Linked DNA regions of Arabidopsis thaliana. The protein of the gene in region 1 interacts with the protein of each later gene in a pairwise test. Each region holds a gene or a part of one and is shown in the gene's direction. Other genes may lie near its edges. The genes, in order: ACT7 and AT3G18060.

Region 1 (11,718 bases):
CCTTGTTTAAAAACCTTGTTAAACTATCGTTTGAGTCTAAGACGAAAAAAGGTTGGAAAGTTCTTTGGACTCTGATAAAAAGCTCTCCCAATCTAGAAACTTTGATCCTCAAGGTTTGTATGTATAATATGATCTCTTTTTCTCTTTCTCAATTATAAATTTAATCTCGGAGTTTCACTTACTGTGTGTTCTTTTCTTTTCTATCCGTTGTTTCAGGGTTTTCAGTGTGTAAGTACTTGTGGGTATAGCATTGATGGAAATACGTTGAAGGTGTTGGAGTTATACGGGTGTAGAGGGAATCTTAGAGAAGTCGAACAAGTGAGGCTGTTCTGTCGGAAAGTGAATTTCTTCAAGTAATGAAAGTGGAAATTGGTACTAAGGTTGATGTTGACAAGAAATTGCAACTCACCAAAGACCTCCTTCCTTATCCTAACGTTCCTCCAAATGCCAAATCCACTTCTTGTAATCTTTTAAATCCAATTTTGTTTTTGACTGCTCAATCAATCAAGATTCAGTTTGTTTTAGATACAAAGACAACATCTCCCTTGATAGAGCATATTGATAGCTTTACTTTTAATACGATTTTGCCAAGTCCAAACATAAAATTCTGGTTTAGAGTATCAACATTGCAATGATACTAGTACTAAAGAACATTGCAATTTATTCTCAAAGTTCTAATGGCATTGGCCGTGATAACAATTCCATTCACCTTCCAAAAAATCTCTTTCCTTACAACTTGAATTTTTTTTACCAACAAGTAATAATCCCTAAAGAAGTTAATACGGAGGGGGGATAATCAAAACGGCATAATATGTGTCGTTTTGGTTTCGTATACCGAAAGGCAAGATCTTGAGTTCACCTTGAACACCTTAAGAAGATCCGTTAGCATATGCCTAACGGTAAGCGAGCAATTACTCTGTAAAAGTAACAGTATCTTCGTAACGCCGTTAATTCTAATAACGGCATCTTGCGCCTTCTTTTCCTTGAAAAGATAACAGACGCTCCACAAAACCGTAACGGCGTGTTCAGTCGCCGCCGTCGACACTTTCATCAGCTTATTCACCACCGTCTCCACGCACACACCATCACAAATCTCCGATCGACCTTCTTTACAAGACGAAATAGCTTCGAGAAGCTTTAAGCATTTTTCCGTCACTGAAACGCTCGTAGTTGGATCTGTTAACAAACTCGTGAGTTTCGTGACTAGCTTTTCTCTGATTAATGCGAGTTTCACGCGTTTTGAAGACGCAATCGCGATTAATAAAGATAAATTCGCTTCGATTAAGCTTGAGTCGGAATCTGAGCTTATCAATTTAATAATCTCGGTGACCAATCCTTCTCCCTTGGCGATTATAAGCTTTGACTCTGCGTCGACGGCGATAAACTCAAGCACGGCGGAGCAATCGATCTTCAATTTTGGATTCCCGCGTTTAATCAATAGGAAGAAGGAAGTCAAGCAATCACCACCGTTCGTTAAGATCAGATTCGATAACCGTCTCCGATCGAAGATTTTCCGACGAATCATGCTCAGAATCTTCACCGCTTCTCCAACGAGTAGCAATTGAGAATCAGAGAAGTTTCTGGAATCGCTAATGAGATCCACAAGCATCGCTACGAAATCATCTTTCCCGGCGAGAAACTCTCTGTTCTCATCAGATTCTCTCGCGAACCGGAGAATCTTCGAACGAGCATCATTCTCGATCCGGAATCTCTCAATCGCAGCGTTAATTTCGTCTCGCGTCGGAGTATCGGATTCCGGAGACTCAGAATCGGCTCGACGGTTGATGGAGTCGGACCAGTGATCAATGAGACGGTGAAGAGTTAGGTTAGGTACGAATTCTTTGTTCTGAAGAATCTGCATCGTCGCGGGACAAGTATTGTTACCATCATCGAGCCAACGTTGGATGCTAACTCGGTCGTATGTAACGCCGGTGGAGAGACTCACCGGAGATTTCATCACATCAAGTGAAATTGGACATTTGAAGAAACAAGGGACGGTGGTGATGTAAAGATCATCGCTCCTCATGTTTTTGCTCTTTCTTCTTCGGCGAAAACGTTTCAAAGAGAGAATAAATAACAAAATCACTGAGAGAGAAAGAGACGTGACTCGTGTGGTTAGGTTTTAAGAAGATGATGAGTCATGAGAGAGAGTTCAAATATGCTGACGTCAAAATTCACTTTTTGAACAACCTCTTGATACTTTTCCATTTAAAAAAAAATATAATTACGTTATTTTATTTTATGAATCTTAATTTTTTTAAATTATGCTAAGGTTTTAAATAATATGGAGAGACAGTTTTTTGTTAAATTGAGATTATTATTTACAGTAGTTAATAAAATTTCCCTAATTTTGCATGTTTATTTTCAACTTTGTATAACATTGGGAGAAAAAACTTTTTTGACATATTTATTTATTATATGCCAAACCCATGAAATGAATACTTTTCCGTATTTCGTTCTCTCACTTTTGGTCAAATAGTTGAGTCTGGGTATCTTTCGGCGCGCGTAGACTAAGATTTGTATTCGAGTTCATCTCAACCGTTAACAGTACCACCAACGGTACAGATTTCGCCTAAGGATCCACTTACATTTTAAAATTGCACCGTTCGAGGAAACTCGGGAACCTTTTGATTTCTTTTAAAGAGCCTATAAACAATTTGTCCAGTTCTCGTAAATAAAATACTCGTATTGTCCCTTGAAGAATTGTTGTAGTCATTAATATTTGTAAAACAAATGTGATAAAAGGAAGTGAACTTATTGACCAGACAGATTCGACGGCCTTTTGCAACTTTTGTTGCTTCCTTTTCCTTTTCAAAGTCCACTTTAAATAAAGTCTTTATCGATTACCTTAGCGACAAAGTGTCAATGACATCAAGAGTAAACTACTACTCGGTTATGTGAATGTGACAGTCCAGGCTCGTGTATGGGCCTTGTATGTAACCCAAACCATCGTTCGTAGGCTTAGTCATTTATTATTATTTTGCGAATCAGAGGCCCATTAAATTTACTCCTCTTTTTCTATGTCAATACATAGAAAACAAATAAAGAAAGAAGGCGAGTTATCGTTATGCTATAACCTCATCGCACTTTTTATGTTTTTTTGGTATGAGCCTCATCGCATTTGTTATCTTTATGATCGTGTTTATATTATATATGTAAATGTAGTGCGATTGCAATGAAATAACGTTTCTTTTAGTGAAGAATTGCGCTTAAGTTTTTGGCGGAGGGTAATTGTATTGCAAAAGTCACTAAACTTTAGAGAGAAGCATTTAACCTTTCGGATTACAAAAAAATACTGTGACAATAAAAAAAAAAAATCAATGAGAATGATGCATTGGAGAAAACGTGTATGAACAGATGGTCGGTAAAAAAAAAAAAAAAAACGTGTATGAACAGATGGTCGGTAATTAGCACGAAAATCGCTTTGGTTGTAATTTGTAATAGTACTATTTTATACTCGTATATTTTCAACAGTGTTGTTACAGTAACGCTAAGGAACTAGCCTGGACAAGCTTTTACATCTCATTTACTGTTGTTGTTCTGACACAACTACTGTTGTTGCCTTTTATGTTCGGTTTCCTTCGTTCTTCTAAGTTCTGACATCTTGTTCGTACAAAGGGGTCTCATCGTCATTATTCTCTGCCTTCAATATATATGCCGCAAAAGAGGATGCAACTCAAAAGTGTCCACTAAAGCTACGGTCTTTAAGTTGATGATTACGTTAAGGAAGATGTCCAAGAAATAAAAAGTTGATGTCTTGATGATGACTAAAATTTAGAATTGGTTGATCCGGTCTTGCGGTGCAGTAGTTGTATTGCCTGGTCGTTAAGTCACGTTACGTTTTAGCTCGAACTTGTTTTACGTAAAGGATAGATCTAGGAAATATAGAAACTTTTTTATGCATATGCGCGTGGTTTGCTCAATCAATTGTAAGAGATTGCAAGGATAGAATACACTATAGTATTATCAAACTGATATGAAATTATTTTATTTTGTCGTCAAGTAATATGAATTATATTTTTTTCACATAACATGAAATGAAAAGGCTTGACCTTGACCCACCACTAATTATTTTTCTTTCGTTTTCTTCTCTTTGTCCCCTCTCACTTTCACTCCACAGAGAGGATTAATTGATAATATATTATAGAAACAAATGTGAAATGTATTTTAAATTGAAAGTAAACTAAAAATCTTGACAATGTTAATAACCTGTAATCCTAATGGTCAATGCTAAAACCGTTATTATATGATCAGACATGGTCAAACCCACATAATACATGTTATTTCAAACGCAAAATTAGAAATATCATAAATATGCAATAGTACTTATACGTGAACCTAATTAAAGACAGCTATAAAGGAGTCTTCCTCCAACTTTTTTTGTCTTGTGGGTCATATCAAGAGCTATGAAGAGACGTTATTGTTTTTGCCCAACAACGTTTTTTACGCATTCCAATATGAGATCATGTTCAGAAATAGTTAATTTAAACTCAAGTGAAGGTAGTATAGGGGTAAAACATCTTGTGTCTCCAATTTGATTTAGTATGTTTTGAATAATGTAATTACTACGTAAATATCCATGATTAACTAGATTTAGGTTTAGTGCATGGTTTTCCTTAATAAGAGAGATAAGAATAGAACCATATGAGTAAATAAAAAGAAACATACAAATAGAACCATAAGTCAACATCTTTCCAATCAAAATCTCTCTCTCTTGATGTGCCCATATTTCTAGCTGTCAACAATTCACAGCCTTCTCTTTTTCATTCAATCACCCATCAACAAAAAAATAAAACCTTTTAAATATTAAATACTTCCACCCAAAACTCCTTCAAACAAAAATCACTTCCCTCCCTCCATCTCTCTCTATTCACTCTCCCAATTTACACCAATGTCTTCTCGAAGCCACCGATCAAGAAAATATCAACTCACGAGAACAATTCCTATTCTTGTTCTTCTTCTTGTCCTTTTGAGTTGCTGCAATGGAGCAAGAACCACGAACGTCTTCAACACAAGCTCGCCACCCAAACAAAAGGACGTCGTTTCGCCACCTCATGATCATGTCCATCATCAAGTACAAGATCACAAAAGTGTACAGTTCTTGGGGTCCCTGCCACGTCAGTTTCCGGTTCCAACTTCTGGTCCTTCCAGAAAACATAACGAAATCGGTTTAAGTAGTACTAAGACTTAATCTTCACCTTGTAGTTCAAAGGTTTGATTAATGAATCATCCTTTTTACTTCTGTAAGTTTTTTTTGTTTTAGTTTTTGCCCCTTTTGAATTTGGTTCAAACTGATGTAAATAGATTTCAGTTTGATTTATTTATGGGCAATGCTGTGGATACGATCAAATTTTTTAGTTTAATATTGGAACTTGTTTGATCCATTGAAATATTGCAAGTACGTAAGAGCATCCACATTGGTGGTTATTTATACATGTCTTTAAATATAAAACTATAAAAAATAATAATAATAAAATAATGAATGTCTTTAATTTGAGATTTGTGTCTTCCTAAAGACACTTTATACACAACAAAAGTGAAATGTCTTTAATTTTATTATTTATTTATACTAAAAACATATATAAAAAGTTGTCTACTCTAAGTGTACAAGAGCCGAGGATAGAAGGGTCGGTTTCTAATTAAACAATTATTGTTCTTTTTATTTTCCGTCTTCTAATTTGATATATATGAAATTATATATCATATGTTCACTGTATCCTAATCGTGGATTATTACGGACATAATGATAATTGTTGAGATATATACAAGTCCCGATCAATTTAGGCTACATCTGTTTGGTAGAATATTGATGGATATAAGCCGAGTAGTGATTTCAATATTTTATATCCACTCTCTTCTTATAAGTTATGGTAATAACAAATAGAAGGTTATTCTACATATACTAGTATTTGAGTTGGTGTTTAAATACCTCGGGTTATTCGGACATGCATAGAGAAAATATATGGTATTTTAAGATAAACATTATCCCATAATATATGGACATTGACAAATACAAATAATGTGTGTTCGTGCGTAAAAGAATTGTCATTTCTTTAAAATAAGAAGGAATGAAAGATTGAAAGGTATATGTTCTAACTAAAACGTGTGATTAAGATTGGACTTATATACATAGTTGATTACTTTGGATGTATCTTTTTGTTTAATTTTTGTTTCAATAATGTCATTGAGTAGTCGTTGTGAATACGATTGACCAACGGTTGCAGAGATATATTGGAGGATTTGATGTGATATCTCCTAAGAATTTCAGAAGTTCATTGAACGTTTTTTTGGGGTTAGTGAAATAGTATCATTTGTATCTTTTTGCATAATTTTTGAAAAATCATTCATATCCACTTGATTCTCATTCAAACTTTGAATACCTTTATTCGAATTCCATGTGATGATTTATACTTTTCAAGAACACTATGGTCCCTTGACTCCATTGTCTCGCTTACAACTTTAGTTTACGTCATTAACAAGTAATTAGGCTTGAGCTATAGCCTATAGCCTATAGATAAGCTAGTTAAAAGGTCAAACAAGGAGATTCCATAAACTGTAAAATAAAACTTCCAAAAATGGGTTGTATATAGGGAATTGTATCTTTTACATACGTTAGTTCTGACTGTATTATTTTTTTTAGTACTGTCCTTTTTTGTTCTTATATAAAAATGGATCGGATACACATTTAAACATTAGTACTTACGGGTACATGTCTATCCTCATATGTATTATCCAATACATACACTTACGGACATATGAAAGTGAACGATCGACTCTAATTCAAGTGAAGTAATTCTGCTAACTGCAATAATCTACATTTTATAAAGTTTGCACTTTTTTTTTGTTTTAGCTACGTTTGAATTCTTAACTTACTATATATATATTATTTAAAAAAGCTTACTATATTAAAACATCTTATATTTATTGATCAACCACTCATGAATCGAATTAAAAGTACTTCCACATATATGTATTCAAATTGTTTAGATAACTTAACCATCCTTTACGTGACAGCGCTATTCAATTACAACATGGGTCTTACAACATTTGGATTTATTTTGACGCCTTGTTGGTAATGAGTTTATTAGATAATTGAAATTTTTGGTCACCGCTGTCCGCTGCGATGGTGTGTGTATTATTATTAATCATGCATGCGTGTGAGATTGAATAAATTAATATAAGTCAAATTGGCTGAAAACGTTGTGACAAATACTAGAGTGTCTATATATATCAGGATTATGATATGCGGGCATGTGATGTGTCTAATGCGTACGTGTGCACTCGTGTCCACGTGCACATACACGTGCGGTGTACCCCGCGTTGATAGGGTCTCGATTATTTCCAATCACGTATATCAATTGTTTTTGTTTTTGTTCTTTTTGATAAAAAAAATTTTTGTTACTTCACAATTCACATATGTATCCAAATGCAAGCGACAAACATATTCGCACGAAAGAGTCGAATGTTTTGGTTAGTGATAGAACATTATATATTGATCTTGATCGTATGATTTCATTTATATTTAGGGACTGAATTATATATTATATTGTAACATTTAACATACAGTATATCATGTGTTGCTAGTTATGATTTACATGCACTTCGAAAATGGTATCTGATTTTTTATATGATTTAGAACTTATCTGGCACACATCATTGAATAGGATCTAACACATTAAAACACTGTCTAACTTATTTGTTTGTATGTGTGTGTTAAATCATCATTTTAGCTAAGATTTTTAACCATAGGCAAAGAAATGACTCAAATGAGCAAACGAGAAACTGCAGACAGCAACATATATCAAACTAACTCTAATAGGCCCAATATAGCCCAATAAGAAGTGTGACCGATGGAGGGAAGAATCGAATTTAAATGATACAGAGTTTTTTTGTTTGGAGAGGAATAGACTGATATGATAGTCCGTGAAAATATTTTCATCTTGTTTTCAATGTGGAGATATTTTAAAGTTTGAAACCAATCCAAGTTCTAAAACATCAAAAGCTTTTATTCTCTGTTTAAACCACTTGGTTGGTCTTGGTCTTCTTGAAATATACAAACCAGACCCAAACGATAATCAGTGAAGATGACTGCATCATTGGGTCTTTAAGTTTCCTATTGGGCCAAATCAGCCCAACTATATTATTGTTATTATTTCAGTCCATTAAAGATTTTCGGCCCGTTTTATCGTTGGGAATTCATCTATATTTCCCCAATTTGATGATACACAGAACAATTTCATGTGTATACGATAAGAGGCAAATTCAAAATTTGCAATCAATGTAAAGTGGAAATGAGAAGCATGGTGGCTCAAATCAACTTATCTTTCCTTGGAATACAAACTACAAATGATGACGGATTTGGCTTCCCTTTGAATTTACCTTTTACCTCTCTCTTTTTTTTTTTTTATAGGTAATGTTGTTATTGGACAAAAATGTTAAGAAAATAAAGGTGAATGATAAATTAGAAGAGTACCCATAACTATTTTGATTATTTAAGTTGCCAACCAAGCTAGACCACTTTCCAACTTTTATAGACAAAGTGTAAGAACTTAGCACATGCTTTCCAACAAGGAATATGAAACTTTATTTCAAAAAGATTATTGTTAAAGCTTTTAATCATTCTAAAAGGTGATTAATATTTGAATTATTGGAAGTAACTTGTTTTGGACATATACCAAATTAATCAATAGTATCAATGGACATATAACATGTTGTGAGACTATATCAATGTTATATTCCAAGCCAGTTAAACCAATTTATAATGATACCATTTATAGATAAACAATACACTTTACACACATTATTTTCTTAGAATTGGGTCTCATATAGAACACTCACAAAGGTGACTTATAAAAAATGCTTCAAAGATCCTAGTCTTTTAGTGTGCATTCCTCAAAATCGTAGTTGATATGTATCTTGCTCCTATTCGGGTTTTGGTCTAGAATTTTGGTTTCAGGAATTTTCAATTAACTCATTAAAACATTTATAACATAAAAAGATATATCACGAAAACCGATCAATCATTTAATATATTTTTATTTTATTTTATTTTTTGTCACAATAAAATCTAGACAATAGTGTTTAAACATTTATCAAAAAATTCACCTTACGATTAATTTGTTTTATATTTTGTGATGATGCAATTTAATCTATATAAATTATAAAACATATCGATAATCTGTGTTTTTCTTTTTCTACATATAAAATTCATAAAAATGAGAGTTTTGAAGCTCTTAAAATGGACTAGTCAACAATTGGCCAATCTTTGTTCTAAATTGCTAATAAACGACCATTTCCGTCAATTCTCCTTGGTTGCAACAGTCTACCCGTCAAATGTTTACTAATTTATAAGTGTGAAGTTTGAATTATGAAAGACGAAATCGTATTAAAAATTCACAAGAATAAACAACTCCATAGATTTTCAAAAAAACAGTCACGAGAAAAAAACCACAGTCCGTTTGTCTGCTCTTCTAGTTTTTATTATTTTTCTATTAATAGTTTTTTGTTATTTCGAGAATAAAATTTGAACGATGTCCGAACCACAAAAGCCGAGCCGATAAATCCTAAGCCGAGCCTAACTTTAGCCGTAACCATCAGTCACGGCTCCCGGGCTAATTCATTTGAACCGAATCATAATCAACGGTTTAGATCAAACTCAAAACAATCTAACGGCAACATAGACGCGTCGGTGAGCTAAAAAGAGTGTGAAAGCCAGGTCACCATAGCATTGTCTCTCCCAGATTTTTTATTTGGGAAATAATAGAAGAAATAGAAAAAAATAAAAGAGTGAGAAAAATCGTAGAGCTATATATTCGCACATGTACTCGTTTCGCTTTCCTTAGTGTTAGCTGCTGCCGCTGTTGTTTCTCCTCCATTTCTCTATCTTTCTCTCTCGCTGCTTCTCGAATCTTCTGTATCATCTTCTTCTTCTTCAAGGTGAGTCTCTAGATCCGTTCGCTTGATTTTGCTGCTCGTTAGTCGTTATTGTTGATTCTCTATGCCGATTTCGCTAGATCTGTTTAGCATGCGTTGTGGTTTTATGAGAAAATCTTTGTTTTGGGGGTTGCTTGTTATGTGATTCGATCCGTGCTTGTTGGATCGATCTGAGCTAATTCTTAAGGTTTATGTGTTAGATCTATGGAGTTTGAGGATTCTTCTCGCTTCTGTCGATCTCTCGCTGTTATTTTTGTTTTTTTCAGTGAAGTGAAGTTGTTTAGTTCGAAATGACTTCGTGTATGCTCGATTGATCTGGTTTTAATCTTCGATCTGTTAGGTGTTGATGTTTACAAGTGAATTCTAGTGTTTTCTCTTTGAGATCTGTGAAGTTTGAACCTAGTTTTCTCAATAATCAACATATGAAGCGATGTTTGAGTTTCAATAAACGCTGCTAATCTTCGAAACTAAGTTGTGATCTGATTCGTGTTTACTTCATGAGCTTATCCAATTCATTTCGGTTTCATTTTACTTTTTTTTTAGTGAAAAATGGCCGATGGTGAGGATATTCAGCCACTTGTCTGTGACAATGGAACTGGAATGGTGAAGGTGAGTTAGACTGTTTATTTAGATACTGTATGGTTCTAACCTTCTTTGTTGTACATGTGTAAGACTACTGATCATGATTTTTGTATATTAACAGGCTGGTTTTGCTGGTGATGATGCCCCGAGAGCAGTGTTCCCAAGTATTGTTGGTCGTCCTAGGCACACTGGTGTCATGGTTGGTATGGGTCAGAAAGATGCTTACGTTGGTGATGAAGCTCAGTCCAAGAGAGGTATCCTCACTCTGAAGTATCCAATCGAACATGGTATTGTAAGTAACTGGGATGACATGGAAAAGATATGGCATCACACTTTCTACAACGAGCTTCGTGTTGCCCCTGAGGAGCACCCAGTTCTACTCACAGAGGCACCTCTTAACCCTAAAGCTAACAGGGAGAAGATGACTCAGATCATGTTTGAGACATTCAATGTCCCTGCCATGTATGTTGCCATTCAGGCCGTTCTTTCTCTCTATGCCAGTGGTCGTACAACCGGTTAGTTCTTAACTCTAAACATCCAAGTCTGAGTTATATTATCTTCTTACTTGTATTTACTTAAAGTCGTTCTCTTTTTGTAACAGGTATTGTGCTCGATTCTGGTGATGGTGTGTCTCACACTGTGCCAATCTACGAGGGGTATGCTCTTCCTCATGCTATCCTTCGTCTTGATCTTGCGGGTCGGGATCTCACAGACTCACTCATGAAGATTCTCACTGAGAGAGGTTACATGTTCACCACTACCGCAGAACGGGAAATTGTCCGTGACATAAAGGAGAAACTTGCTTATGTCGCTCTTGACTACGAGCAAGAGCTAGAGACAGCCAAGAGCAGTTCTTCAGTGGAGAAGAACTACGAGCTACCTGATGGACAAGTCATAACCATCGGAGCTGAGAGATTCCGTTGTCCTGAGGTTCTGTTCCAGCCATCGCTCATCGGAATGGAAGCTCCTGGAATCCATGAAACAACTTACAACTCCATCATGAAATGTGATGTCGATATCAGGAAGGATCTCTATGGAAACATCGTTCTCAGTGGTGGTTCCACCATGTTCCCAGGAATTGCTGACCGTATGAGCAAAGAGATCACCGCTCTTGCACCTAGCAGCATGAAGATCAAGGTGGTTGCACCGCCAGAGAGAAAATACAGTGTCTGGATCGGAGGATCAATCCTTGCATCCCTCAGC
Region 2 (11,718 bases), on another chromosome or scaffold:
AAAAGAAGATGTGAGAGAATTGATCTACAGAGAGGTACACTAATCTCTTACTGTTTTTGCTTCACTAAACTTGTTTGGATTGATTAAGCTCTGAACAATGGCAAAATGTATCTTCTTCCTTTTTCGCACGTATCCATCGGGTAATCGTAATCCTTACAAAAGTTGAATGTGATGCAGATATTAGAGTATCATCCTCAGATGCTGCAAGAATATCTTCGAGGTGGAGAACAGACTAGCTTCATGTACCCAAGGTATATAAAAACATTTAGAATCCGTGTTCAAAATTTACTACGAATTATGAGAAGTGAAGATAAAGATTTTGTAATCTAAATGAAAATGCAGTGGTGTTGATCGCTTTAAGAGACAATTTGCTCATCTTGAGGAAAATTACGGTAAGGGTGAGAAAGGCTCACCTCTTCAACGCCAACACGCTTCCTTGCCTAGGTATACAATTTCGTTTGTTGGTTTGTCAGTAAAACTGATTTCCCGGATTCTTTTAAAGTTTGCATCATCTCATTCCATTATGTTGTGTTGGAACCTCTTCTGTTTCAGAGAGCGAGTCCCTGCTCCTAAGAAAGAGAATGGATCACATAATCACGATATCGAGAACAGATCCATAGCGTCTTTAGTCACGACCCTCGAAAGCCCTCCAACGTCACAACACGAGGGGTCAGACTACAGGAATGGGACGAGCCAGACGGGTTACAGCGCTCGCAGCTTGCTGAAAAGTGCCAGCATCAGTGCATCTAAATGCATTGGCATGAAACCAAGAAACAAGTCCGAGGTAAAATATCAAGAAGCATTAGATGAGATGTATTATATAGTACAAGTTTGTCTACACTTGTTCTTCAGATTCTTGAGTTTTTTGCAGTACGGGGAATCAAACAATGATACGGTTGATGCTCTGTCTCAAAAGGTCGCGGCTCTCCACACTTGACTTGTTTCAGAGATTGAGGATTGAAACTTGTTGCTAACAGTAGACGGCTGATTCTACAAGTCTTGTACACATCTCTCAGAGAAGACGAAGAAGAAGTCTGATCTTGATAGAGATATTGAGAGACATGACTCATGAGCTATGAACAAAACAACTTAACCTTCATTGGTCTTCAATTTGTCCATCAAGTCGAGTTGTATTAAAAATGGATGGAGAATATAATTAAAGAAGAATTGTGTTAACCCCTGGATTTATGCCTGACAAGTATTTGACTTTATCAGGCATTATAAATTATAGTTAAAGTGTGTGTTTTCTTCATGACCCATATGTGCCTAACCTAACTTGATTTACTGCTGAATTTCTTCTTTTTAGTCGTCCCATTTACTTTTTCTTTGTTCTCTTTTGGTTTACTTACTAATAATCTCTTTAGAGCTGGTGAAAATGCTGTTACAAGCTCTACATATCATAAATAACTTGAAAAGATCAACTTTAAAGTAGTCTATAATATACAATAATGGGATCAATTACGAGGAAACCATAGTAAAGTATGGTCTCTTCTGAATTCAGGCATATTCTCAAGTGATTATAAGGATGGGTATTTTCTTTTTCTCTAAAAGACTAATTTATCCTTTTATTGTTTCTTCATTCTTTCTTCCTTCTTCAAGCTCTTGATTCAGATGCGAGTTTGATGAAGATGGCTTAGTTGCTCATGATTCACAATCAGATTGTTTTACAGTTGAGATGGATCGATCTGTGTCTATAATTAAAGCCTTTGGGTTCCCTAAACATCATCCCTTAGGGTTTAGTTTTCTTGCAACAAAACTTGTTTAATTAGTTCCATTGGATTCATCGAAAAAGGTTGGTCATAGAAATGTTGTGTGAATCATCGGAGGAGAAGGAAACGAGATTTGATTGTTGATTGATTCAAAATTAAATCTGGGTATTTATCGTTTGTGGAGTTATGGGTTTAGTAATTATAGGAAGTTCCGATAATGAGTTTATTTTTAATTTGGATTTTCATATCATGGGTTATGGGTAGTTATCGTCTTCTTTGTACTTCTCAATTTCAATTTGGAGACAGTGAGGTTGTTGTCTCACGACGGAGAAGATGAAGATCATCATCAACACATTCGAGGGCAAAATGGTCATTTACAGACCAAAAAGTACCCAGACTTATAAGCCCAAATAAAATATGTTTCTATTCTAATTTTTGGGTCAAAATATGCCCATATGTACAAAAACCCCTACAATAATGTTGTAAATTTTAGTTTCTTCTTTTACTCTATAGTCTAAGTCTATATCCAAATTGACTGACTAAGTTTATTTTTGATATGATATTTGAAGTTTGAACACGGTAAGTATATTATAAATTTACCATTTGTAACTCTATAGTAAAATAGTCTCTTGTCCTTGTGACGTAAGTGAATCCATCTTGCATTACGTTATAGATAGATACTTTTGTAATGGCATTCCCGAAAAAGGGTTTTGTAGTGTTATAGTTTAAGCAGCTTTCACTACAACAAACCATTCGCATGCCTGACATTACCTTTTTAACATGGAGCTCCACATAATTCTTTCTTTTTCCTTTTTACTATCAACCAATAGTGTTTTGTGGGTAAAATGGATATAAAAGTAAAATTCCATGAACATACTTGTACTATTAATCTCGAGATAAATCCTAGACTCCTAGTGTTTATGTTCTTGTGGTCGTCGTCGTCCAACTAGTTCTTGCTTCAACAAAATAAGAAACAAAACAAAACCAAATTAATAGAGACTCCTAGAAATCAAAGGACTAAAAAACACTTGGAACAAAAAGACAGAAGTTAGACTTCTTTTTCTTTTGAGATAGAATATTTTTTTTATTTCATGGAAATAAGAGTAAAGTTGTTATACAACTCTTTATTTTTCTTTATCAAAAAAATGTTTTATTACAACTCAAAAGTTTCATGAAAATTGACAAAACAGCTAAAGTATAAGTCTATAACCATAATAAAACTAATCTGACGACTTTTTTCTTATAGCTATATTAGTGATTGAAAAAATTGCATGGTCTCTTGTTTTCCATGACATTTAAGTTGCGAAAAATTAATTGCATTATATTGTAAACTAATTAACGGAAAAGTTTATCTGCATTACGAGACAAACACATGCTAGTACTATAATTTTGTAGTTTATCTGCATTGTTGAAATCGGACTCTGCTAATTTTATTGATTATACAGATTACATATCAAATCTAGTAAATATGTAGCGTTTAAAAATAAAATAAAAAAGTACTCAAATATGATAAGCTAAACTTAAACGAATCCTTCCAAACTCTTATGTATTGAAATTATTAACAAATAACAGTGAACCTGTCGATCACTTGCCTCTGTGATCTTTCAAGTTTCAATGCAAAGAACAATCGTCCCGTGATTCACAACCCTCAATATTCAACTAAGGTTACCCTAATAAGTAATAATCCAATATGATTTCATTATTCATAAAATAGTCGCCAGCATGGATTACGATTAAAAAGTTTATTTTTTCTATTATTGTCCTACACACTGAAAAATGGAGTGTTAACGAAGCATAAGAAATGTTTTGTAATTTTAAGAATGTTTGATCACAAATTTTTTTCCACTGATTTTTTTACATTATTAAAACTAATAAAAAAACTGACTTAGTAGTATTAAATTGGTATATATCGAGATCCCATTTGTGATATTTTATTACACATCTCTTCCAGTCTCTCACTCTTTGTCCCTCTCTCTTTCTCTATTACTCTGTCTCCTCTGTTCCGGCGATGTTCCAACACGCGCCTTCTTCCATTTCCCTCATCATCATCTTCCTCTTCACCATTCTATCACCCGTTTCACCTGAACCGGTCACAGTCCAGCCATTCCGGGTCAAATCATCCCCACCCGCAACCATACCCGCTTTCCCGGAGCAATCCGATTTCTCCGGCTGCCCACTCGATTTACCAGAAGACCTCTTCCACGGCATCAAGTCAGCTTGCAGCGGCAAAAAGCTCCACAAAGGAAAATGTTGCCCCGTACTAGGCGCGTGGCTCTACTCTGCTTACTCAACCACTGCTCTAAGCCGTTCGATTTCCGCCGCCGCAAGAAACTCATCCTCCTCCTCCGCCGCGGTAACGACTCCTGAAGAAGATATGCCTTTGCTTCCCGATGACTCGGAGACTTGCGTTGACGGATTAGGGAAATCTCTGAGGCAGAGAGGGATTGAGCTCACTAGACCGAACGAGACTTGCGACGTCGTTTACTGCTACTGTGGAATCAGATTGCATCCGTTGAGCTGTTCCGAGGCTTTTAGAGTGAATGATGAAGGGAGACTCGTTGGAGACGAGAGAGTTGATAGATTAGAGACTGATTGTTTGAGTGGAAGCCACAACAATGCTGATGGATTCTCACCTCTTCTTGGTTGCAACAAGTGCTTGAACAGTCTCTATAAGGTAAAGTCACTAACTTTGCTGCTATATTTAGAAGCTGCCACTGTGAAGTTCAAATGGAATTAGGTTGGCTAAATTGGTAAAATGTGTGTGCAAATCTAGTAACTTTTAGATAATCTATAGATACCCTGAAGCGTTGTTGGTGTTTAGCTTCTGGATTTTGTTTGATTGACTGATTAAGACAATTTTTTGGATGAGTAATGAGGAATTGATGGACTAGTTATAGTAGTTAACTATGTAAGGTTTAGTCCAAAGTTTAGAAGCCCTTTTTTAATGATATTTATTTGGTGTTTAAGGATTAGGGTTTTACTATATGAGTGAGTGAAGATTTGGAATTATGTAGTTTAGGATTCTTTCTGATCTATCCATCATATGGCGAATGGTAGTAATTTGGGAAAAGTTTTGTTCTTTAGCTTTTTGTTCTCTTTCTATCTGACAGTCTGACACACATATACGCGCTAACAGAATCCGTGATCTCCACGCGACGTTTTGTCTTCCATCATATGATTTCATTCTTCTGCATCTTAATCACCAACCCACCATAGCCAAAAGCTTAGCAACTAGTTGCCACCTTTCTACTTTCTACAATCCTCAATCATTACTTTAGTCAGCAGCAACAAACCCTAATCAAAACAAACACTTCTGCTTCATTTTGCAGCTAAATCCGAAGAAAACTTCAGGGACAAGAAACCCATCAAAGGAAGACCGAAACAGAACAGCAAAGATGCACAACAAAGACTGTGTCCTCATGGGTCTCACTTGGCTTCTCGCTAAGAACCGTACTGCTTATTTCCCCACTGTCACTTCTGTCCTCCGAGCCGTCATGCTGAACCACGATGGCGTGCCACGTTCATGTGCTCTCGGCAGCGACGGCATGCCTTTAGCCGTCGATTCTTCCGAATTCTCCAACGGCTCGCCAACTTCACTTCAGTATCCGCACCACTTGGTCCACTTCTTACTTTACAGCGTTATCACATTAGTCCTAATAAGGTCGTGGTGACGTGGCACACCATGGTTGGATTTGATTGTGACGTGGAGCACGTGGCATTACGTGGTTGGTTGAGAGAAGTGAAATTCAGATAGAGAGAAAGAGAGAGGGCTTTGGTTCTGTCTTTGTAAATTAGTTTTTTGGTGTCGTTGTTGTTTTAGTAGCCATGTTCTTTAACATTTTATTACATCAAAAAAATCTTGTTGTATTTTGTCAATTAAATATTGAAAAATCACAATTTGAAAATATTTCAACAATATTTTCGGTCATATCAAATTATATGAGCGCAATCAATATAAATATATCAGTTTTTGGGAGGAGAAGAATAATAGTCAGAGAAAGGCATGTGAGTAATGGGGACGAGGTGGTGTGGCTGGTTTGAGAGAGACAGAGAGACTTGTGACAGCTTTGTTCTTATGTTTCCTTATCTTCTCTCTAACCACGGATGCTCCTATAACAATAATACATTCATGATTCATCCCTATCATATTCTATATTTTATATGAATTATCAATGCGACCAAGAGATGTAAAAAGCCCCACGACTGACACTTTATTTTCTCATATAGTTCAAATAATATTTCATTCAATAATCGAATGCTTCCATTCGTTAGATTTTTCCTTTGAGAAATATTATGAAAAAGATATTTCATAACATTTTTTTTGTGGTAGTGATTAGATAGAGGTTCACTAATGCGCCAATCAACTGCTAGCGATTCATTGACTTTGGCATTATTGCGTATATAACTGGGCTGGGCTAAACTAACTTGCCCATGGGCCGCACATTTACCTTTTTGGCCAAATAACACACCCATTAGTCTAATCTAAAATTACAATGGTAAAAACATGAGAGATTGAGGAATTGATTAAAATGGAATGAAGATAATAGAGAAATAATTTGGTTCCACTCATTTCTAATTTAGTAGAAAATATATAATTTTTCAAAATTGTTCATAATTCAAGGTATTTCCAACAAAAATCAATGGAAGTTTATTATTCTTAATGTTATATACTACTCTGCATTATGATATGTAAGTCTTAAGAAACAAAGTGATTAGCACAAAACTATTATACAACTACACTTTACATTATTTTTGGGTTATCTAATGAGTTTGTGCCAGAGAAGTGAATGTTGCAACAATGATTATCATTACATTATCTTTCTAATTACAACAACTAAATATTAACAAATGTAATGTCAAACAAAACTCAAAAAGACTCAAATCCGTCCTTCCATTTTCCTCGTCTCTCTTCTTCCCCGTAAACCCAAAAACAATCTCTGCAAAGTCCTCGGTTCTGATGGAGCTTTCAGAAACCTATGCTTGTGTTCCATCGACGGAGAGAGGTAGAGGAATTCTGATCTCTGGTAACTCGAAGTCCGATACCATCCTCTACACTAATGGTCGATCCGTCGTGACTCTCGACCTTAACAATCCTTTAAAGGTCTCTATCTATGGTGAGCACGCTTACCCAGCTACTGTGGCGCGATATTCTCCGAACGGAGAGTGGATCGCGTCTGGTGATGTGTCGGGGACTGTTAGAATCTGGGGAGCTTACAACGATCATGTGTTGAAGAATGAGTTTAAGGTTTTGGCTGGTCGGATCGATGATCTTCAGTGGTCTGCTGATGGGATGAGGATCGTTGCTTCTGGTGATGGCAAAGGCAAATCTCTTGTTCGTGCTTTCATGTGAGTTTGGTTTTGCTTTTTAGATAAAGATTTGATTTTTATAGTGCTTAGCTCAATGTTGTTTTCGTTGATTTTGATTGATCGGACTAAAGGTTTTGTTTTTCTGCTGGTGTTGCTTTTATTTTGTTGAATCGGATCGATATTAATCAGATTGAAATTGAGCATTTTGTTTCTTCTTCTCAACTTTGATGGATTATTGACTCATTGTTTGTCTTGGTTTATTAGGTGGGATTCAGGATCAAATGTGGGAGAGTTTGATGGTCATTCTAGGAGAGTTCTTAGCTGTGCTATCAAGCCAACTAGGCCGTTCCGTATTGTAACTTGTGGGGAGGATTTTCTGGTGAATTTCTATGAAGGTCCTCCTTTTAAGTTCAAGCTCTCAAGCAGGTCAGATATTCATGTGCTCCCTTTCTTTAAAGAAATATGACACTTTCGATATCTGTTTAAATTTCCTGCTTGTGAGTTTCTGAATTGTTTACGAGATTGCTGTTTATTGGTCGACAGAGAGCATTCCAACTTTGTCAACTGTGTGAGGTTTGCACCAGATGGAAGTAAGTTCATTACTGTGAGTTCAGATAAGAAGGGAATCATATATGATGGAAAGACTTGTGAGATACTGGGAGAACTGTCTTCTGATGATGGGCATAAAGGTAGCATCTATGCAGTCAGCTGGAGTCCTGATGGTAAACAGGTACTAAGTTATATCTGTTTGTTGTTCCGTATTCTCAACTCTTGCCTGATTCCCTCATATTACGCTCAAACTACATTAGGCTTAAACAAGGTCTACTAGAATAGCGTATGGAAGTAATTGGTCTAACCTGCTGCAGTATGACGTACATAAATGAACTATCTTGGGTGTATCTATGAAGACTGAATGACATATTCTCTATCTTCTAGTTGTTGATTACATCATGGTTGATGTTATGCTACGTCTGTACTCACGTGTTGTATATGTTTGAATCATCAACCAGGTGCTCACTGTTTCCGCAGACAAGTCAGCCAAAATATGGGATATATCAGACAACGGTAGTGGATCATTGAATACAACATTGAACTGTCCTGGATCATCAGGTGGAGTAGACGATATGCTTGTTGGGTGTCTGTGGCAGAACGATCATATTGTCACTGTTTCTCTAGGTGGCACAATCAGCATATTCTCAGCAAGCGATCTGGATAAATCCCCCTTTCAGTTTTCGGGACACATGAAGAACGTCTCTTCCTTAGCTGTGCTTAAAGGAAACGCTGATTACATATTATCCGGTAGTTATGATGGACTGATATGTAAATGGATGCTAGGCCGTGGTTTTTGCGGTAAATTGCAGCGGACACAAAACTCTCAAATAAAGTGCTTTGCTGCCCATGAAGAAGAGATCGTGACCTCTGGATATGACAATAAGGTAAACTGGTTCTCACTTTAATTTTTATTCACATGTAGGACTTGTCACCTTGATTTCTGCAGTGTCTGAATTTGGTGTTTAGGGGATTGAATGTAAGGACGAAACAAGTGAATTAGGTTTTTTTCTCTCTGAAATATTGGCAATTCTAAAGACACAATGGTCTCTTAAGATTATTAACACTTTGGAAAAATATACTAATGATCTTGTGGTTTAGAGAATTTAAAAGAGCGATCACTGAAGGCCAAATGGTCTTTACCTTGTAAGACTAGCAGTGACTAATATTTTTTATTTCGTAGGTTATCTAATTGCTTCCAAGCATTATTGTTATTGAAGCAACTAACTCACGTTTATTCACTATGTGATTCTTATTCAGATATCCAGGATCTCCTATAAAGATGATCAATGCACAAATGAAGAGTCTATCGACATTGGAAATCAACCAAAGGATCTAAGCCTTGCACCACTCTCACCCGATCTCCTTCTGGTGACCTTTGAGTCAGGAGTTGTGTTTCTTCGTGATGGGAAAGTAGTGTCAACCATCAACCTTGGGTTCATTGTCACTGCTTTGGCAGTAACACCTGATGGAACCGAAGCTGTCATCGGTGGCCAAGACGGTAAACTCCATTTGTATTCTATTAATGGTGACTCCCTCACCGAGGAAGCAGTTCTCGAGAGACACAGAGGCGCCATCAGCGTCATACGTTACTCTCCAGATTTGTCTATGTTTGCATCAGCTGATTTGAACAGAGAAGCAGTTGTGTGGGACAGAGTCTCCAGAGAGGTAAGTAATTAAGATTATTTAGAATCTCTCCATGAATCTGGAACACAAACACTGATCTTATATCGTCCCTTTTTTTTTAAACAGATGAAACTCAAGAACATGTTGTACCATAGCGCCCGCATAAACTGCTTAGCTTGGTCTCCAAACAGCACTATGGTTGCCACAGGATCCTTGGACACGTGTGTGATTGTGTATGAAGTGGACAAACCTGCTTCGTCACGCATGACAATAAAAGGAGCTCACTTAGGTGGAGTATATGGTCTGGGTTTTGCTGATGATTCCCATGTAGTGAGTTCTGGTGAAGATGCTTGTATCCGCGTCTGGAGCTTTACTCCTCAATAAGACTTGACGTAAATTATAAAGATCTCTGGACAAGTCCTATCTTGTCTCTTTGGAAAGCTTCTACTACTTTTGAAGGCTTTTTTTGTGAATCTTCCGTTTGGCCGTGGCTGTGTTGATGTGTGTGTCTGTTTTTTTTTTTGTCTGCATATCTTTTGTCAAAAATGAATGCTCTGTTTTGGTCTGAAACTGAGATCTTGAGTCAGATTTTTTTTCATTATCAGAAGATTACTGATACAGAATGGGACTTGAGATTGTGCTTTCTCTCAATGATTTTTGGGCTCTATAATATTTGTTCTTCTTACAAAAGTTGTTTTCTGAAGTAGATGAAAACAGAGGAGATTTTTCAATTAATTTATCTGATCAATAGTTAATCAACCTTATTAACAAAAATGATTAAATAATTAATCTCGCTTATAATTCTAAGCCTGAAGCAAGAAGACACACATTGATCCTCGTTCATAATTCACTCCCCAGTCCCCACATTCTGTCCCATAGTGAGCTTCACATGTTTCTTTTTCTCCTCCTCCTCTCTGCTTCCCGCTCCGGCGAAGAGTCGCCGTCCGGAGACGCCGTCCCATTGGCCACCGGCGGTCTTAACAGAAAGAGTTTTCCGGAAGGATTCTTGTTCGGAACCGCCACGTCAGCTTACCAGGTCGAAGGCGAGACCCACCAAGATGGTCGTGGTCCAAGCATTTGGGATGCATTCGTCAAGATTCCTGGTTAATCTCATAATCAATCTAATTACAATTCACTAATTAAACTGATTAGTTAATCATTTCGATTTCTTATTTACCATTGGTAAAAAAACACAGGTAAGATTGCCAACAATGCCACTGCTGAGATAACAGTGGACCAATATCATCGTTACAAGGTACTTCTTGTCACTAATCTTTTGTTCCTAAATCATCATGTATATATTTTTTTTTGTGTGTGGTTATATTATAATGTACATCCTTTGGTGTTCATGTTAATCACATTTCAGGAAGATGTAGATTTGATGCAGAACCTGAACATTGATGCCTACAGATTTTCCATTTCATGGTCTAGAATATTCCCTGGTATTACTGGATAATGTATAAAATTAATTACATTGCTTATATTTTAGATTAAGATTAGTCTATAACTTCAGCTTATGAATACAGAGGGATCCGGTAAAATCAACTCGAATGGAGTTGCTTATTACAATAGATTGATCGATTACTTGATCGAAAAAGGTATAGATTTTTAGTACATTGAACATTCATAGACACTTTGATTTGATCATTAATTGTCTTATGAATGTAACTTAATTCTTAGGGATTACACCGTATGCTAATCTGTACCACTATGACCTTCCTTTAGCCTTGGAACAAAAGTATCAAGGCCTGCTTAGTAAACAAGTAGTGTAAGCACCAACTTGTGATTTATCTTTTAATCTTTAGTCTCTTACTGCAACATCCTCAAAAGCTACAATCATTTGATATGAGGCAATTTACAGGGAAGATTTTGCGGATTACGCAGAGTTTTGTTTCAAACATTTGGAGATAGAGTGAAGAACTGGATGACGTTTAACGAGCCTCGTGTAGTAGCTGCTCTAGGTTATGATAACGGCATTTTTGCGCCGGGTAGATGCTCTGAAGCATTTGGAAACTGCACTGATGGAAACTCTGCAACTGAACCATACATTGTTGCACATCACCTTATCTTGGCACATGCAGCAGCCGTCCAGAGATACCGCCAAAATTATCAGGTATGTAATAACCTTATAGGCTCCTTCAAGTTGTTTCTATGATATTAAACATGTATATGATTACTAAAGATCTAACTGACAAATTCTTCTCAGGAGAAACAAAAGGGAAGGGTTGGGATTCTACTGGATTTTGTTTGGTTTGAGCCACTTACGAGTAGTCAAGCAGACAATGACGCTGCTCAAAGAGCAAGAGACTTCCATGTTGGATGGTAACGGTTCAAACTTTTGGACTCATATTTTTCCAGTTACATTTTGGTGAGCTTATAAGAATATCTTTTGTGTGGGGATAATGTTTGAAGGTTTATTCACCCAATAGTGTATGGAGAGTACCCAAATACGTTGCAAAACATCGTGAAGGAGAGACTTCCGAAGTTCACCGAGGAAGAAGTGAAAATGGTGAAAGGTTCCATAGAC

Evidence for each region.
Region 2: the proteins of ACT7 (region 1) and AT3G18060 interact in a two-hybrid assay, tested with the Arabidopsis thaliana proteins (2 studies listed by BioGRID).

What each region holds. Positions count from the first base shown.
Region 1 is NC_003076.8:3,042,327-3,054,044, forward strand, and holds the start of ACT7 (actin 7), read left to right. Parts: upstream 1-9,735; 5' UTR 9,736-9,936; intron 9,937-10,476; 5' UTR 10,477-10,482; coding exon 10,483-10,542; intron 10,543-10,636; coding exon 10,637-11,030; intron 11,031-11,116; coding exon 11,117-11,718. Other genes in the region: AT5G09800 (ARM repeat superfamily protein), read right to left, coding at 797-2,026; IDL3 (inflorescence deficient in abscission (IDA)-like 3), read left to right, coding at 4,892-5,191. UniProt on the Arabidopsis thaliana protein: Actins are highly conserved proteins that are involved in various types of cell motility and are ubiquitously expressed in all eukaryotic cells.
Region 2 is NC_003074.8:6,177,214-6,188,931, forward strand, and holds AT3G18060 (transducin family protein / WD-40 repeat family protein), read left to right. Parts: upstream 1-6,398; 5' UTR 6,399-6,666; coding exon 6,667-7,055; intron 7,056-7,280; coding exon 7,281-7,442; intron 7,443-7,559; coding exon 7,560-7,746; intron 7,747-8,026; coding exon 8,027-8,452; intron 8,453-8,825; coding exon 8,826-9,233; intron 9,234-9,317; coding exon 9,318-9,575; 3' UTR 9,576-9,938; downstream 9,939-11,718. Other genes in the region: MPK9 (MAP kinase 9), read left to right, coding at 1-34, 178-251, 343-444, 553-937; AT3G18050 (GPI-anchored protein), read left to right, coding at 3,718-4,383, 5,039-5,380; BGLU43 (beta glucosidase 43), read left to right, coding at 10,081-10,294, 10,388-10,446, 10,558-10,633, 10,718-10,789, 10,872-10,954, 11,053-11,304, 11,398-11,513, 11,604-11,718. UniProt on the Arabidopsis thaliana protein: Binds actin. Enhances the F-actin depolymerization activity of actin-depolymerizing factor (ADF) proteins.